Callithrix jacchus: one gene and its partners. The protein of the gene in region 2 purifies or fractionates together with the protein of the main gene of each other region. This does not show direct contact. Links are inferred from orthologs where the notes say so. Each region holds a gene or a part of one and is shown on either strand. Other genes may lie near its edges.

The links.
Region 1: the proteins of STX18 (region 2) and NBAS purify together in Homo sapiens (co-immunoprecipitation; 5 studies listed by BioGRID and IntAct, counting the BioPlex papers as one, with this or other methods). This does not show direct contact. The link is inferred for Callithrix jacchus from reciprocal best matches to the Homo sapiens genes STX18 and NBAS.
Region 3: the proteins of STX18 (region 2) and NAPA purify together in Homo sapiens (affinity purification with mass spectrometry; 4 studies listed by BioGRID and IntAct, with this or other methods). This does not show direct contact. The link is inferred for Callithrix jacchus from reciprocal best matches to the Homo sapiens genes STX18 and NAPA.

The regions. Positions count from the first base shown.
Region 1 is NC_133515.1:99,826,552-99,832,061, reverse strand, and holds part of NBAS (NBAS subunit of NRZ tethering complex), read right to left. Parts: intron 3,291-5,510; coding exon 3,040-3,290; intron 2,022-3,039; coding exon 1,687-2,021; intron 1-1,686. UniProt on the Homo sapiens protein: Involved in Golgi-to-endoplasmic reticulum (ER) retrograde transport; the function is proposed to depend on its association in the NRZ complex which is believed to play a role in SNARE assembly at the ER. Required for normal embryonic development.
Region 2 is NC_133504.1:184,726,350-184,732,431, reverse strand, and holds the start of STX18 (syntaxin-18), read left to right. Parts: upstream 1-2,311; 5' UTR 2,312-2,395; coding exon 2,396-2,563; intron 2,564-6,082. UniProt on the Homo sapiens protein: Syntaxin that may be involved in targeting and fusion of Golgi-derived retrograde transport vesicles with the ER.
Region 3 is NC_133523.1:41,451,859-41,457,960, forward strand, and holds the start of NAPA (alpha-soluble NSF attachment protein), read right to left. Parts: upstream 3,718-6,102; 5' UTR 3,567-3,717; coding exon 3,469-3,566; intron 1,184-3,468; exon of another isoform or gene 1,068-1,183; intron 1-1,067. UniProt on the Homo sapiens protein: Required for vesicular transport between the endoplasmic reticulum and the Golgi apparatus. Together with GNA12 promotes CDH5 localization to plasma membrane.

The sequences.
Region 1 (5,510 bases), on a different chromosome or scaffold from region 2:
TTCACTAGTTAAGAGAAAAGGCCATGGGTTAAATCTCCATGAATTCAAATTGAGTTCTCTATTACCAACTTAACTTTGCTGAGCCTCAGTTTGCTCATCTATAAAACTGGAGTAATAATATTATCTACCTCACTGATACTCAGCCATAACCACTGTCCCAAAGAAGTAGAAGTCTAAGAGAGATTCCTGAAGCTAAGCCACAGCTAGTAAGTGAGGGGTTTAGAGTTCAAAGTCAGGTTTATAGGTCTCCAAACACATTCTTTTCAAATATATTACGCTCTTGTCTTTTAAAATCATCCTTATTTTTCTATTTAAAAACAACAAAAATGATTATTTCCTTTTTATAGCAGTGGTTATAAAATTTAAAACCAAGATACATGATTCGGGTTGCAATAGCAAGAAAATAAAGAGGTACGTGGTTATCCACAACTACGAATCTAGTGATTTGGTTACAACTGGCATTCTTCACAGAAGTTGGAACCTCTGCCTGTGCCAATCTCCAGATGAATGATTCACAATTCTTAGTCTTTACACTCTATTTCCAGGATAATAATAAGTACAATAAAAATCTCGGGGATAGGATACTGGGCAGCCTCGGTGACTTGCAGGGAAGGAGAAGGCAACAGCAAAGATGGCAAGAGATCAAAAGGGAGCTCCTCCAAAGGTGACAGAGTTCAGTGGCTGAGGCCACAGGCTAAGATTTTCCAGGAGAGAGAATGCCCAGAGTCCACGTAGTGAAAAATGGCCATTTGTTTAGCAGTGAGGCTGGCTGAGAGGACAGGAACGGGGAGGAGGAGAACCCAAATTATCTACTCTGAGTGGGGCAACACATTGCTGAGGAATTGAGTGCAGGTATTAAGATCCAGTCAAACAGCTCAGAAGTGAGCATGGAGGAGACATCAGAAAATGCAATATGCATTCTCTTCAATAATTCTATCACCAAGTTATATACTGCATGATTCGCATAAGAAATTATTTATTTTTTTTGAGTTCTTATTTTTTTGAGACAGAATCTCATTCTGTTGCCAGGCTGGAGTGTAGCAGCATGCTCTCGGCTCACTGCAACCTCCGTCTCCTGGGTTCACGTGATTCTCCTGCCTCAGCCTCCTGAGTAGCACACCACCATGCCCAGCTAATTTCTTTTTTTTTTTTTAAGTAGAGATGGGGTTTCGCCATGTTGGCCAGGTTGGTCTTAAACTCCTGACCTCAGGTAATCCACCCGCCTCAGCCTCCCAAAGTGTGGGATTACAGGCATGAGTCATTGAGACCAGCCAATAACTTTTTTAAAGATTCAGTTTAACCCAAGCTGAGTTGTTAGCCTGGTTTCTGAATGTAGGTAATCTGGGCTGGGCACTGGAGCTTCTTTAAATTTGTCAACTGGAAAGAACAGAATGGCATATTTACTATAAAATGACAAGAGACTTGTATGTGACATGTACAACATATATGTGTAAATTAGAGCAGTCATCTCTATTTTAGCATCTTTGTACATTTGTAACACAGAAAGAAAATTTCCCAATTAAAACGTCTCATTGATAGCAAAAACAACCAAAACCTTTCTAAAAAGCTAACATGTAATTATTTTCCAATTCAAGAAAGGAAATAAAAATAAAACCTACAGAATGTAGGAGCAATTTTCATTTCTTTTAACATGCACAAACCACTTTAAAATATATTTCTGTTTACCTTGGTCACAGCTTTAGGAGAAAATGTAATTGCATCTACCACTGTGATGAGGTCACCTGGGTGGAGACGATCAAAGTACTTGACGCAGACATCATAGGCATGCAGCCACTCCGGTGAAGAGCCTGGGACTTGTTTAATGAGATGAGGGTCTCCAGTCCAGAACAACTTCTGTAACCAGATGGTGTACAGAGAGCTCGGGGAAAGCATCTGTCCATCCTTTTCAGGGATTTTGGGAACAAGTTTGGAAATAGATAAGATGTTTTGACTTGAAAGAACTGGCTCCAGTGCTTCAAGAGGACTCATGTTTTCATCTGTCAGCTTTTTGTAATTAAGACCTAGCAGAAAAAAAAGAAAGTAGGTAAGTGGTTCATTCGGATGCAAAAATACAGGCGCTTTCACACACACACAATCCTCTGTATGTCTGAACGCAAAGATCTATCAACTTAGCTATAGGAGGTGGTTTAGGTTTTCTATTAGAAAGATCAGTAAATCTGAGTTCTAGTCACAGCCTGAATCTTACCAGATAGGCCATTCATCTGCTGTGTGCCTCTATTTCCTCGTTTGTACACCAGAGATGACAATATCTCCATGACTTCTGCATCCCCCACAGCACCTGTTTTCTCCTGTCAGTGCATTCACCAAACTGCACTATATTCATTTGTTATTTATCTGCCGTTTCACTATTTACTTGAAGGTAAGGACTGAATCTTATTCCCTCATCCTCTGTGTCTAGGCCAGTGTCTCACTTGATGACTCAGAAAACAACTGATAAACTGAAGGGAACTCTCACAATTATTATAAATATCAAATAAATACAGATTTGAATGTGCCTTGCAAATTATAAGGTATAAAAATTTAAGAGGTCTTAAGGTGTTTAATTTCTTAGTTATGAGAATAAAGACCACTCTAAAGATTTCCACAATTCATCAAAGATTGGAAGACTCATACTTGAAGTGTTCCATGCATATTTAAACATATAGGCTCCAGTGGAATAAAATTCTGCTGAACTGTCTATTATAAAGTGTCTTGGCCTTGCCATTTATATACATAAAATATAACCAATGAGAGTAGTGAAAAAACCCTGGAGCCAAATTCCAAAACTCTGGATTTTAGTATCAGGTCTGCCATACATCACCATGCGACTTTCAATAGGCTTCTTACTTTTTCTGGTATTTAATTCCCTCAACCACAAGTGAAAGAGTTGGAAAGATAATAACTGAAGTCTATTAGCTTCCAAATTCTGTGGTTTCAGAGCTCTGCCGACCATAATGCATGAACAGAATTACGCACAGAAAATTAATCCCCAGATTAATTTTAAAAGAATGAATTCAAGCAGGGAAAGAACCATCTTACCTGATGCAACAACCTTAAATTTCTTCAGCAGCCGAATGTGGGTTTCTGGTTTAATGGCATACTTCTCCAAGCCTGCACAGCCACAGTTTTCCAGAAGAGTGAAATAATACAGCAGCCTTTCGTGATCAAAGCCACCAATCGTGGGGTAAATATACTTGACCATGTGCTGGTGAAAGGCTTCTGGATCAGTCTTCAAAGTCTCAAAGAGATGAAGGTCTTGGGCTCTATTTTCAATTTCTAGTGTGGACAAACTGAAATTAAGAGCAAAGGAGCCTTGTTAAGATTTTGTTCCTTTATTAGAGTGATTTTTTTTAACCCAGGAAGAAGCACTACTTATAGCTTCCTTCTTCCTGCCTACTCAAAGAAAGTAAACCACCCCCAGCACCCAGTCAGCTTGTAAAAAGGGAAACAAATGTGTTAGATGCCTACTAACATTTAACTGACTACAGAGTCATCATGTTATCTCATGGGGGTCTACAGCCACCCTGGGAAGTAGGCTTTACTTCAAGTTCTTCCAGTTGGGAAAGTTGTCTGTTTGTTTACCGGCTAGGAAGTAAACCATCTGTCAGGGTCCACTCTAAATCGTTAATTCATGTCATAAAAAGGGTTTAAAATCTGTGCTTCTTCACAGAAACATAAACAGGGCTTATTATTTCAGGAATTTAGTAAATTATACAGGAAAGAAAAACCCTAACCCCTTTGGCTTAAGATTTACATCCAGGTGTCTTGCATTAATATTCAATAAACTCAAATTTTATGCTGTGTTCAAATAAAAGAAAAACGGAGAAAAAGTGATAATTAAACTTTCACCTGGGTTATCTGCAGTAATGCTACTCGCATAAAACACCTATCTTAATATTTTCATTCTAACTTAGATGTCTTTGTAATATAATTTTAAAAAGTCATTTAAGGTTAAACTCTTGGAAAAAGAAAAATTAAGGTATTTTTGCTTGGTTGATTGGTTTGTGCTTTTAGAAGGGGGAGGGAAGGGGTTAACTTTGGTATTATGCTTCTCCCTGGACAGAATCTGGTCACAGCCATCTCAACATCCCTTACGGGATGAGTTTCATACTCCCTAAGTGGTCTAGTGTAATCTCAACATCCCTTACGGGATGAGTTTCATACTCCCTAAGTGTAAGAGTCCTTTGGGCACCCCTCCACTCACAGAATTGCCCAGGTTCTAGGGTTCTCCCACTGAGCTCAGAATGTGACAACACTTGGGACAAAGAGGGTAAAGTCAAAGCATCAAGTAATTTTTAAAAACTGGTCTTTTTACTTTTGCTTCAAGAAAAGCCTTATTTTTCCATTAAGACACAGTTCAAACATTTACAAGAATATTCCTAACTATAAATATGTCCCCAGTCACTGGCTCCTCTGAGCTACTGGTGTGTGCTGACTATCCTTCTATTCTGTTATGCAAAACATATGTTAACTATTTATCACCTTGTCTAGCTCCCTTACTAGATTGTGCTGCTTCATGGCATAGACCTTATTACATCATCTTAATCTTTAGTTTCTCAATACCAAGGACCAGCGTGTGGCACAAAGGAAATCTTCAATATATGTCTTATCAATGCCAAATAGACGAGTGGATGAGCAAAAAATTAGGTGTCCTCTATGTACAAGGCACTGTGCTTAGCACTGGGGAGGATTTAAAGACTTACAGCATAGAGTTCTCACACGAGTTTGAAAATCCAGTTGAATTATAAATACTTACAGCTAAATAATGATGCAAAACCATAGTATCAGCTGACAAAGGGCACACAATTATAGTCCAATTAAGAGTAGTATCGGCCAGGCGCAGTGGCTCACGCCTGTAATCCCAGCACTCTGGGAGGTCGAGGCGGGTGGATCACGAGGTCAAGAGATCGAGACCATCCTGGTCAACATGGTGAAACCCCGTCTCTACTAAAAATAGAAAAATTAGCTGGGCATGGTGGTGTGTGCCTGTAATCCCAGCTACTCAGGAGGCTGAGGCAGGAGAATTGCTTGAACCCAAGAGGCGGAGGTTGTGGTGAGCCAAGATCGTGTCATTGCACTCCAGCCTGGGTAACAAGAGCGAAACTCCGTCTCAAAAAAAAAAAAAAGTAGTATCACTAAAAGCTGTGACTGCAGAGGATGTAGAAATCAATGATAATGGAAGGCTTAGTGAAAGAAGCACTTGAATTTGGCATTGTAGAAAGAAATGAAGCAGAAATAATGTGAACAAAAGTATCAAGACAAGAAAGCAAAAGGCCTGTTAAAGGAACAGTGAATACAAATGGCTGGGTGGGCAGAAAATATTCTTGATACTATCACTATTCAAAGGACACCATCATCTCTGAAAGATACTATACACACAGTGGTATGGGACAGTAAATCACAGAATTTCTTATGTTCCTTCATAATTTGCAAAACGAAGTCTGAAAACAATGTAGTAACGAAGTAAACAAGAAACTGTATAACTGCAATAAAATAAATCTTATTGACGA
Region 2 (6,082 bases):
CCGAGAGGATCATTTGAGCCCTGGAGCTGCAGTAGTAACTCTCACAACATTTCTGCTCACCCTTTTAATCCACAGCCCCTTTCAGCTTCATGGAGTTTAATACAGTCCATGGTCAACGAAGTCACTTTGCTCTTTGAAATTAAAGAGTAAACACAACATTTAAAAAGCACAACCCATATCCCACGGTCTGTGGAAAGTTCAGCAGCCTCCTCAAGATCTTTGTGACTTTTCTAGGAATTTTATGTACTGTGGTCACTTGTGGATTTACAGCCTGATGTTTTGAGCTCACTTGGGACTCATATCCACTACAATCTTCTCTGCTCTTGCAAATCCACACAGAAAACTTAGATCTTTGTCCCTACCCTTCTACCCAAAATATCCAACTGCATCAAACACACTGTTCACACAAGGCACCACTCACTGAAGTCTTGATATAGTTCAGCCTCCCTCTCACTCAAAAATCCTTTCCAGTTACCTACTTTGTACTTTCCTGGCCCCTCCCTTGGTTCTGGCTTCTCTTTTTTCCCCCCTAATTCAATCCCCCTCACTTAATTATGCAGAGCAATCTCTCTTTCCTTCTACTGTGCCCCAGGCTTAACTTTGCATAGCCAAAAACTCATTAATGTCTGGATTAAACAAAGGGCCATTTGTGCAAGATAGAATCATTGGCAGAGATTTTGTGATTTCTTTCACTTTTCCTCAGTAGGTGGAAGAAAGCTGTATGGAAATGTATTTTCCTTAAACTGCAAGGAATGGCTACAGTTTGGGCTTAAATAATCTTTTTCTTCCTCCTTTCTGGTAAATATATACTTTCTTGACATCTATTTCTGATCAACTTTATTTCTTTAACATAGTGGTTCTCAAACTTTTGGTCTCAACTCTTTTGCACACTTAAAAATTGCTAAGGGCTGTAAACAATTTTTGTTTATATTGACATTATCAACATTTACTATATGAGAAACTAAAACCAAAACTTTTTATGTCTTTGAAAACCTTTTTTAAAGTCTGGCTTAATAGAAAACAGCTGTTCTGCATTCATTCCGTTGCAATATCACACACAGTCTCTAACAAACTCAAGTGTATACAACTCATGAGGAAGTGAGAGTGAAAAGGCAAGTAACGTCTTAGTATTATGAAAAGAGTTTTATATTGGTGACCATTTAAACCACTGCATTAACACATATTCTACTTGTGCATTCTCTTTATGAAAAAAAATCTTGAGATTTTGTTTTAACACTGAACCATAGGCCAGGCAAGGTGGCACATGCCCAAAGTCCCCGTCACTCAGGAGGCGGAGCGGGGGAGGATCATTTGAGCCCTGGGGTTCCAGTGAGTAGTGAGCTAGGATGGCGTCTTTGAACAGCCACTGTAATCTCACTGGGCAACATAGTGAGACCCCCATCTTAAACACACACACACACACCCCAGAACCATGAACCAAAAAATGCAGAAGAAACTCATTGACTGACTTGTCATTGTTTATGACTCAAGATTTGAAAACTATGCATGAAGGATGAACAGAATCCAGCGGCATTAGGGTCACCCTTTCACCTCTGTCTCCATCTAAAGTTCCTATTCATCCTTCAAATCTCTGCACAGGTGACGCCTTCTCTCTAGAGCCTCTTTCTCACCACAAATAAGATTATAATAATATTTATTAATTATAATATTTATTAATAACATTTATTAATATGTTTTTATTATTATAATAACAACATATTAACGATAACTACCATTTATTGGCCACTTACTGGGAGCCAAGAAACACCAAAACAGCACGCGTCGGGTCATTTAATTTTCACAGTAAACTCCGAGGAGGATGCTGGCTTCCCTTTACAGAAGAGGTGGCGGAAGGCTGGAGAACAAAGGCCTCTGGCTCTGTGCCCTGCACACCTGCTCTGTCCCAGCACTTATTGCACCCCGAGGGTCACCGTCCACGTGCCTCTGACATGCTCAGGGTGAGTCCTTGCAGTCAAAGGTCAAGGGGGTCTCGCCTTCGCGTCCCCCGCAACCAAATCGTCCGGGCTCAGTGAGGGAGCCACCAGAAGGGAAGGAACTTCCCAGCTTTCCGGTCTTTATGCTCCCGGAGCCCACAAGCCCCAGACAGACATAGGAGAGCTCTCCGTGCTGCTAAACCCTCCAAGCTTTGCCTGGAGAAGGGACTACCCGTGAGCACGTTGCCGGGTCCCTCCTCCTCTAGGCGCGCCAGCTTAGGCCGGAACCTTTTTCCTCCCGCCGCGGTAGCCGGGCGCAGGCCGGAACCTTTCTTCTCGCGCCACCGTTGCCGGGGGGAGGCGTGCGGGGTAGGACCAGTCCTCTAGCTGGCGGATTAGCGCCGCGGTCGCTGGCTGCTGACGTGGGCGGGTCCCGTTTGGGGCTGCGGGTGCGGGTCGCTATGGCGGTGGATATCACGCTGCTATTCCGGGCCAGCGTCAAGACCGTGAAGACGCGGAACAAGGCGCTGGGAGTGGCGGTGGGCGGCGGGGTCGATGGCAGCCGGGATGAGCTGTTCCGCCGGAGCCCCAGGCCCAAGGGCGACTTCTCCAGCCGGGCCCGCGAAGTGGTAAGCTGGTTGCTATGGAAACGGCGGCTTGAGGAGGGGACAGACCTGCGACAGGGACCCCAGGCCCCAAACCAGACCTCGTCCCTTAAGCATTGTGTAAAGAGTGTGGCCCCAAGGAGGACAGTACAGTTGGCCTCAGCCGACAGCTTCTGGGGGAAGGAGCAGCCTTATTTTGAGGAAGGGGGACGCATTATTGGGGAACGGATTTCTCCTTCGGCGGCGGGGTTTAGGGGGCGAAGAAGAAGACGCTCAGAAATCTCTATCTGGAAAGTGCATGGGCGGCTTTGTGAGGTCATGAGATCGCTGTCATTACAGACTTGCACTCGGGAAGTTTCCTCACAGTCCTTCGCTTCCTGTCGAAGCACTGACCACACTGTATTTGCCTGTTCTGTTTGCTTGCCTGCCTCCCACCCCCAGTTGAGATTAAAACCGTATTAAACCGAACTCTTTCTTTACTTTGTCTTCGCAATAAGTAGGACTCAGTTCCGCTTGAGACAGGTTTAGGATAATCTTTCACAGTGTTAAGTCATCTCAACTACTTTCTGTTTCCTGGACAGAGCAGGTGTTCCTTCATCTCCCTGGGACTAGGAACCTTTTCGTTAAGGGAAGGGACAGTGTTGTTTTCATCTCAGAATGCATGACTTATACAGCATTGCTTAGTAAATGTCTGTTGAATGAATGAATGAATAAATGGCTGTCTTTACCACGAGGCAGAAAACTGCACAACGGGAGAGATGTTTGTCTTGTTCCCTATTGTATATGTGACACCAAGTGGGGATCTAGTTTTTGTGGGGCCTAAAGCTTATATAATTCTGTCTCCTCTTTTTAAGAAGAAAACCGCCAAGAAAGGTTGAGAGCTTTGGAAGTTTGAAGTGAGGGACCCTGAAGCTTAAGCTTCATTAATTTCACGCTAAATCTACCTCTGCTTGGCATGCACTTGGCACTGTATAGACATTCAGATATTTTTGAATGAATGTATGCATGCGTGCATTAATGACAGTTAGCTGAAGATACTTAAACCTCAGAAAGGGGATTGGACCAGATGAATACACTTACCCCATTGATGAACATCTATGAAGCACTTACCTTTTGACCAGCCTCATGTTAGAGTAACATGATGTAAAAGGAGTGGTTGAGGATACGGACATAGAAATAAAACAAGTACTGTAAAGCCCTGTAAGTGTTGTGTAGGGCACAAAGAAGAATGTGGTCAGTTCTACCTGAGGATCAGAAAAGGCTTTATAGAGGTGATGATGCTTCAAACAAGTCTTGAAAGAGGATTAGTTGGTTTCAGTACAGACAAGGTGGGGAAGGGCATCTCAGGCTAAGAGCATAGTGTGCGCTAAGGTCTGGAGGTAGGTAATTGTCTGACATAAGTTGGTTCATAAACATTTGAGTGGGACTGGAATGTGGGACTTCTCATAAAAATTGGAATAGAGTGGCAGCAGGGGGAGATCTTGAAGGGCTTTGTATATCACTGCAGAGTTTGAATTTGGCCTTGTAGGTGGGCAGATGTTATATGATAGAGAAAGCACCAAAGATGGAGCGAGCCAAGAGACCAGGTTGTTGTCTGACGGTGCAACTATTAGCTACATGATTTCATTAAGCAAGTTTTAAGACCTTATTTTATTTACCTGTGAATGATCCTTTTTTTTCCTCCTCCTCCTTTTAAAAAACTACCTTGATCCTCTCTATATAACACATCAAAGTGAGAGCTACCTAGGTTGAAATGAGAGGAAGAGAAACAGGACATTCTCCCTCCCTATACTCCCAGTTTGTCCCAAGCACTTCCTGGGGTTCCTTTTGTAGAACTGTGGTATAATATTGTCTTTTGAAGGGCCCCTTCTAACTCTGAAACCACTGATTTATTAGCACTGTGCTAATTTTGAGTCCTGCTCAAGGAAAGGGGGGATTTGGGAATTGGAGAGGCAAGAGGCAACAGTTGGGTTGGCAAGCCCTTTGGAGAGTCCTGTAACCACTTCCACCTCTCCCTGAGTGGTGAAAATGTGTTTTAGGCATTTGAGTTTATGGGCCTCAGAGATAGTAACAGCAACAGTCCCTTAAGGTGCTGAGTTCCCTGTCTTTGGAAGTCATTAAACAGAGTGATGACTGCTTTTTAGAGATGTTTGAGAAGAACTTTGTCCATGTGTCACAGGGTTGGACCACATGGCAGTGAAACTTCCAATTCTGCTATGTATTGATGTGGGTACGTGTCACATCACCTCAAGTGAGTATATGGGCTGTGTTGTTCAGGGACACAGTCCCCCTGACCTAGAGGAAACATATATTCTTTTAAGCAGTTTTGATTTTCTGTTGTCATTGCTTTGTGTGTTATCTTCTATACTTGCAACTGTTTCCCACTCCGCATCTTTTCTTGTGGAAAGTTTAACTAGAAGAACTAGTGATGGATGTCCTGTGCTTTCACTACAGTTAGATGTGTCAAAAGTTTGGTGTTATTTTGTTTGGCCTGGATTCCTTATACAGAAAAGTCTGGTGCACATATCCTGATTCAGATTTAGCCCTGATTGTCAGACCTAAGGAAATGTAGTAAGTTATAGTATGCCTGTTAGTAAGTGCCTTCCTTGAAGCATTTGCTGTCACTTCTAGGATGCATTTTGTCTGGCTCAGTTTCTGTTCTTACATTCCATTCCTCAAATATATGCCTGGTGCCGGATTTCCATCTCACTGAATTGTTATAAAGGCTATATTAAGTTTAATAAAATTGCATTGAAACTAAATCTTCCTCCCCACCTCCCACCAACAGGCTTTCTTCTGCATCGTTCTTTTAAACATTTAACTTTTATGCTCAGTTTTGCTAAATTTATATATACTCAAATGCATGTCTACCCATTAAATTACAAATGGAGAGTAACAACTTTTCAGATTATTTGGGAGAGGAACTTATATTATTTGAACAACTCCAAATAATAATGAATATGTCACTCTACAATGGGAATTTGATGAGTTAACTCATTTGAAGTGTGGGACTAATGAGGACTGTGGGATTGGAAAGGGATCTGGGCCTTGGGTTCAAATCTGGCTTCTTGTACTTAGAAATGGGTGAACTTGGGCAAGTCTGACTCTCATTTTCCATTTCTATAAAATGGACATGATAATACCCTACTTAACTCACCAGCTGAGTTGGGTAGTTGTGAGTCACCCTGCTCGCATAGTCTTTATGTATATGTTTTAAGGAACCAGACTGATTATTATTGTTCCCCTAAACTACCTCGCCTCTCCTCATGGAGGCCATTTAGACGTGTTTTCTTTAGTGGCACCAAGCTATGCTTTCCAAACCACTTAGCTTTCTTGCACTTCATTAAGGGAGCCAAGTTAAGTGCACGAGGAACGCGTGAAAGTCCTGTGCAGGTGCTGACGAATCAGTGGTGGTGCAGAAGTACTGTCCGCATTTGTAAAAGACAGTGGCATTTCTTTGTCAATGTGAAACTCTTTCAGTGATGGCAGATGTGCGGCAGGTGTGCAGCTGTTACTTTCTCTTCTTCCCTGTGATAGTGGAAG
Region 3 (6,102 bases), on a different chromosome or scaffold from region 2:
CACGAGCTCTAGTCAGGCCAGCCTCCCATCCTCCCTGCCCTCCACCCTCACCTCACTCACACCCCCATAGCACCAGAGCGTAGGTCAGCTCTGCTTGGAGCTGGAAGGAACTGGGATGAACGACCAGCTCTGTCTTTCAAATATTTGGAGTAAACTGCCATGGGGACACTTAGGAGGGTGGCGGCTCTCCAACACACCCAGTTTGCCAACATCCTTCCTGAGTGTAGTGCCCAGAGATGGTCACGAACCTTCAGGAGAAACTACTGTGGTGGCACAGCAAAGGGGCTAAGCGAGAAGGCTCTGGAATCACACAGAACTGGGTTTGAATGCTGCCTCTCCCACTTACTGTGGGGCTGGGCAAAGAGTCACTTCTCCTAAGCCCCCGGCTTTCTCTACCTTCCTGGAGATTTTGTGCGGACTAAATCTATCCGATCCATCAGCAGGTAGAGCCTGGCCCAGGCCTGGGCCTGAGTCAGAGTGAGCACTTAGTAACCAGCATGTGCTAGTATTACTGGCACTGCAGCAGCCTCCTGCTGTCACTCTCCCCCATACCAGCTGCTGCAGTCCTTTCTAGAAGGCAAACGGGAACCCTCCAGGATGGGCCTCCCTTAGCCTCCTTGGGGCTCTGCAGTGACTCCTCCAGGCCCAGTCCTTGCTCACGAGGCCTTCGTTGTCTGGCCTTACGTGCCGCTTCCACCTTTACGGTCTAACATGGAACTCTCTGTGTTTCGTCTTCCTAAGGCATGCTCAGTCACACTTCCTCCATACCAGAGAGCACCCCAGAACTCCTGTTCATTCCCCAGGATTGGGCCCTCTCCCCCAGGAAGCCATTTCTGGTCCCTCTGGATTTCAGTTCCCCGTCTTTCCAGGCAGAACGTCTCCTCACGCTAGACCTCGGCAGCACCATCCCTGCTGCCTAGAGCACCCTCCCCGGCCCCACTCCCTTAGCAAGTCCTGGGCGTTCCCTGGGGCCTAGCTCACTCCTCACCAGAAGCCTCCATGCAGCTCCCGCTGCTTCCTCTCAGCTCAGCCATTCACACGGATGACATAATCGAGGCCTTCCTTACCGTAATTCTGCTTTACTAGTGTTTGGTGTTCATCTTGCCTTCCCAACCAGGTAGCAAGTGCCCTGGGGCTGACTTAGCTGCTCCCTCCAAGCACACGGTCCAGTACCCACCAATCCCTGGGCCAAAGGGAACAGACACTCAGAGCCACCCAGGAAAACCATCACCAAAAACCCAGCTCGTGGTCCCACCCCCAAACACAGCACTTGAACTTCTCCCCTTATGAAGAAAACACACACATACCCCCTCTCCCTCCTCTCAGCCTCTAAAAGAAAACATTTTTCACCTAATCAATATGGTCCATCAGCCCCGGATGTTTCCCCACACCAGGCAATTCCCGGTCATGTTCTTCAAGTTCTTTTGCTAAACATTATCCAACCTCAAACAAGGGGCGAGGCCCAGAGCCTTTTCCCGTTCTTTCCTCTCTTGGAAAGATCCCTCCACTTCGTGTCTTACCAGCCTCTGCCAGCTTCCTACCATGGTCTCCTCCGATCCCCAGGCCCTCCCCCCAACCCCCTTCTCCAGCCTTCTGCAGACGCTCCCAGTCCTACCACCTTCCCCAGGCTCTGCTTCTGAGTGGCTACCACACATCATCCTCTCTACAAGCCCACTAGTCCTTTCCCAAGCCTCCTCTCTGTTCCCACAGCCTCCCCTTGATCCTTTCAGGACCCCCCATCAGCGCAGATCTCACTCCCCACCTCCCACCCCCTGCCAAACCCTCCCCAGCTCCCTTCTACTTCCTCTGCCCAGAGTCTCATGTGCCTCTCCACCCTATTAAGTCCTCCTGGGTCCCTCTTGTGTTTTATTTCAGCTCCTCTTAGCAAACTCATGCTTCTCCATCTCTCCCTCTTCTGACCCCTCCCAGACCTCTCCGCTCACACTAACTTTGAACCCCTCATCCCTCTGCACGCTCCAAATCTGTTCCTTCTGGAAAGTCACATTAACAACAGCTAACATGTTCAGAGACGTTAACTCCATGCCAGGCTCAATCCTAATACAGCAAATCGCAGGTAGGTTTGGTTCGAGGTCTCCTTTAATGGGGAGACTGAACAATTTACCCAAGGTCATGAAGTGGCAGAGCCACATTTCAAACCTGGCCTCTTGACACTCCTAAGCCACTAGAATTTCTCAGAGGATGGCTGTGTCGCTTTTAGGAGCGAATGCGAGTTTTATGCCATGCCATATGCATTAGTTCTGTCTCCCAAGCCTCTTCCCATCCGTCTTCTCACCATGTCCCTGTCATCATCATCACCATTACTTGAGGATCACACAGCAGGCCTCTGATCCCCCGTTTTGGTTCTTTCTGTCCCTCTGTCTCGCCCTGTTACCCCTCCATCTCCTTGGCCAAGCCACCACCATGTGTTCCCCCACCCAGGAGTCTTTAGCCTCAACCCAGGCCTCCTCAGTCTTTTTGTTTTTCTTTGACATGGAGTCAGTCTCGTACTGTCACGCAGGCTGGAGTGCAACGGTGTGATGTCGGTTCACTGCAACCTCTGCCGTCTGGGTTCAAGTGATTCTCCTGCATCAGCCTCCCGAGTAGCTGGGATAACAGGCACCAGCCACCAGGCCCAGCTAGTTTTTGTATTTTTAGCAGAGAAGGGTTTTCACTACGTTGGTCAGGCTGGTCTCCAACTCCTGACCTCAGTGATTTGCCCACCTCGGCTTCCCAAAGTATTGGGACCTCCTCACTCTTGGCTCCATCATGCGGGTTCCCTGGTTCAGCTGTCTTTAGTCACTGCTAACCAGGGCCGGACTCAACCTAGGCACCCCCCAACACACACTTCAGATGTGTTTCACCACTCCTAGGATCACCAAATTCCCGAGACCCTCCGTCTGGTGTCAGCCTCCTTCAGCCATCACCCTTACTGCCCAGGACCCCCCACAAATCCACTGCCCTGGGGGACTGGAAAGGTCAGTCCCTCGGGCAGGGCGTCCTCAGTCCCAGGACCCATCACGCCGCCTGAGAGCCTTCAGACAGATGCCCCTAGAGCTCCGAAAGGCCTCCGACCTGCCTACTCTCCCGGATTCCCTCCGTCCCCCCCAGGCCAGTCCCCTCCAAAGCTTCAGGACGTATTCCCTCGGTCCAGGTTCTCCCTCGGCCCCCTGGCCTGTCTTTGGCCTGAGTCCCCTTTCTCGCCTCAAGACAGTGTCGCCTTGGCCCGTGTGTCCTCAGCCCATGTCCCTTCCGCCATGTCAGACCGTCTCTCTTCAAACCGTGTTGCCCCGGCCCGAGCCCTTGGCCCTCAGTCTGTGTCCCCTCTGCCGCCTCAGACCATATCACCTCATTCCAGGTTCCTCTCCGTCCCCTCGGCCCGAGCCCTGCGTGCCTAACCCGCCGCCTCCGGCCGTGACTCCTTCGTCCTCTCACCCTAGGTCCCGGCCGACCCCTGAGCCCGGTTCTCACCCAAAGAGGCCGGAGAAGAAGGACTGCGAGTTCTTCACTTTGCGCTCCGCCTCGGCCAACAGCGCCATCGCCTCCGCTTCCTTCCCGGAATTGTCCATGGCGACTACAAAGAGACTCAACAAGGCGCTCAACCCCGACCCTGGGAGGACTCAGCCGCGGCCGGGCCGCGGAAAACAGGTCGGGAAAGCTCGACCTGCTGCGTTGACGTCGCACCGGTGCGCGCTGCTGCAGCCCGGAACCACGTGACTCGCGCTGGCCAACCAGCGGCCTCGTAGCGCGGCGCCCGCTCCGGCGACCACGCCCCAACCTGCCGCACGCCGCCAGTGACTCAAGACCCCCCAATTGGCGTCCCGAGACCTCAACGCATGCGCACACACCCGCGAACGGTGCCCCTGCGGAAGGCAACGGCGGAAGGCAATGGCAGTTCGCACCGCCGAGGCCCCGCCCCACGGTGCTGAAGCTGAATCCTCCTTCACCAATCAGCAGAAGCCCTCGACTCGCGTTGTGCGCCCCCCGCCGCGGAAGTCCGGCGCAGTCAGCTGACCGCGGACACTCACGTGACAGCTCGGGGTCCACGCCCGGATTTGACGGCTCTGCGCAGAGCTTAGTCCCGCCCCCTCGGTTAGTTTCGCGGGTTTCTTCACTGGGAAAGCCGTTTGGAGGAAAAGGAAACAGGACTACTTTTTTTTTTTGCTCCCTCTCCCGGCCAATACTGGAACTGCTTCGGGGAGACCAGTGAAGTAGTTCAGAGACGGGAAACAAAAACTTTAGAGATCCTTTAACTCTCTGGCTTCAGAAAAAGTAGCTGAAGAGGGCCGGGCGCGGTGGGTCACGCCTGTAATCCCAGCACTTTGGGAGGCCGAGGCGGGCGGATCACTTCAGCCAGGCCAACATGTCAAAGCCCTGTCTCTACTAAAATACAAATAGGAGCCCAGCATGGTGGTGCACGCCTGTAATCCTGGCTACTCGGGAGGCTGAGGCAGGAGAATCACTTGAACTGTGGAGGCAGAGGTTGCAGTGAGCCGAGATCGCGCCACTGCGCTCTAACCTGGACGACAGAGTGAGACTTCGTCCCAAAAAATAAATAAATAGGCCAGGCGCGGGGGCTCAGGCCTATAATCCCAGCATTTTGGGAGTCCAAGGTGGGTGGATCACGAGGTTAGGAAATCGAGACTATCCTGGCTAATCACGGTGAAACCCCATCTCTACTAAAAATACAAAAAATTAGCTGGGCGTGGTGCTCAGGAGGCTGACGCAGGAGAGTCGTTTCAACCCGGGAGGCAAACGTTGCAGTGAACCGAGATCGTGCCACTGCACTCCAGCTTGGGAGACAGAGTGAGACTCTGCCTCACAAAACAAAAACAAAGAAGGGTTTTTACTTCCGGGACCTTCCAATCTAAGCATAAAAAAAACACTCTAGACAAATTCCAGTTGAGCCACATCCTCCAAAATATCTGCATAGTACTCCTCCAAACTGTTGGTGGCCGCGTTGTGTCACACCAATAATCCCAGTACTTTGGGAGGCCAAGGCAGGAGGATCACTTGAGGCCGGGAGTTTGAGACCAGCCTGTCCAACATGGGGAAACCCTGTCTCCACTGAAAATACACAAAACTTAGCCGGGCATGGTGGTGTGTGCACGTAATCCCAGCTACTTGGGAGGCTGAGGCAGGAGGATTGTTTGTACCTGGGAGGTGGACGTTGCGGTGAGGTGAGATCACCTCACTACTCTCCAGCCTGGGCAACAAGAATGAGACTCTGTCTAAAACAAGTAAACAAAACTGTCAAGTCATCAAAAGGAAAGTCTGTGAAACCGACACAGCCAAGAAGACGAGACTACTAAGTGTAATGTCTTTGCTTGGGTGAGATCTTGGAACAGAAGGGCATTGGGTTAAAAAGCCAGCCAGGCGTGGTGGCTCACGCCTGTAATCCCAGCAGTTTGGGAGGCTTAGGCGGGTGGATCACCTGAGATCAGCCTGGCCAACATGACGAAACCCTTCACTAAAAATTGCTTGAACCTGGGAGGTGGAGATTGCGGTGAGCTAAGATTTGCACTATAACTTGGGCGACAGTGAGACTCCATCTCGAAAAAAAGACTAAGGAAATTTAAATAAAGCATGGTACTTAGTAATATCGTGCCATATTGGTTCACTAATTGTCATAAATGTACTATTCTAATATAAGATATAATCATAGGGGAAACTGGGGTATATGGGATTTTTTTGCTGTTTTTGTAATTTTTCTACAAATCTAAAACTATTCTAAAAATCTTCTTTAAATAAAACAGGTTCCATGGCTGTACCCACAATGGTTAAAATTCTGAATCTCTGGTGAGCCACAGAAAAAAATTTGTTTTTGAGATGGAGTTTTGCTCTTGTTTCCCAGGCTGGAGTGCAATGGCACGATCTCCACTCATCACAACCTCTACCTCCCAGATTTAAGCAATTCTCCTGCCTCAGCCTCCCAAGTAGCTGGGACTACAGGTGTGTGCCACCACGCCTGGCTAATTTTTGTATTTTTAGTAGAGGCGGGGTTTCACCATGTTGACCAAGATGGTCTTTATCTCTTGACTTAGTGATCCATCCGCCTTGGCCTTTCAAAGTGCTGGGATTACAGGCATGAGCCACCGCGCCCAG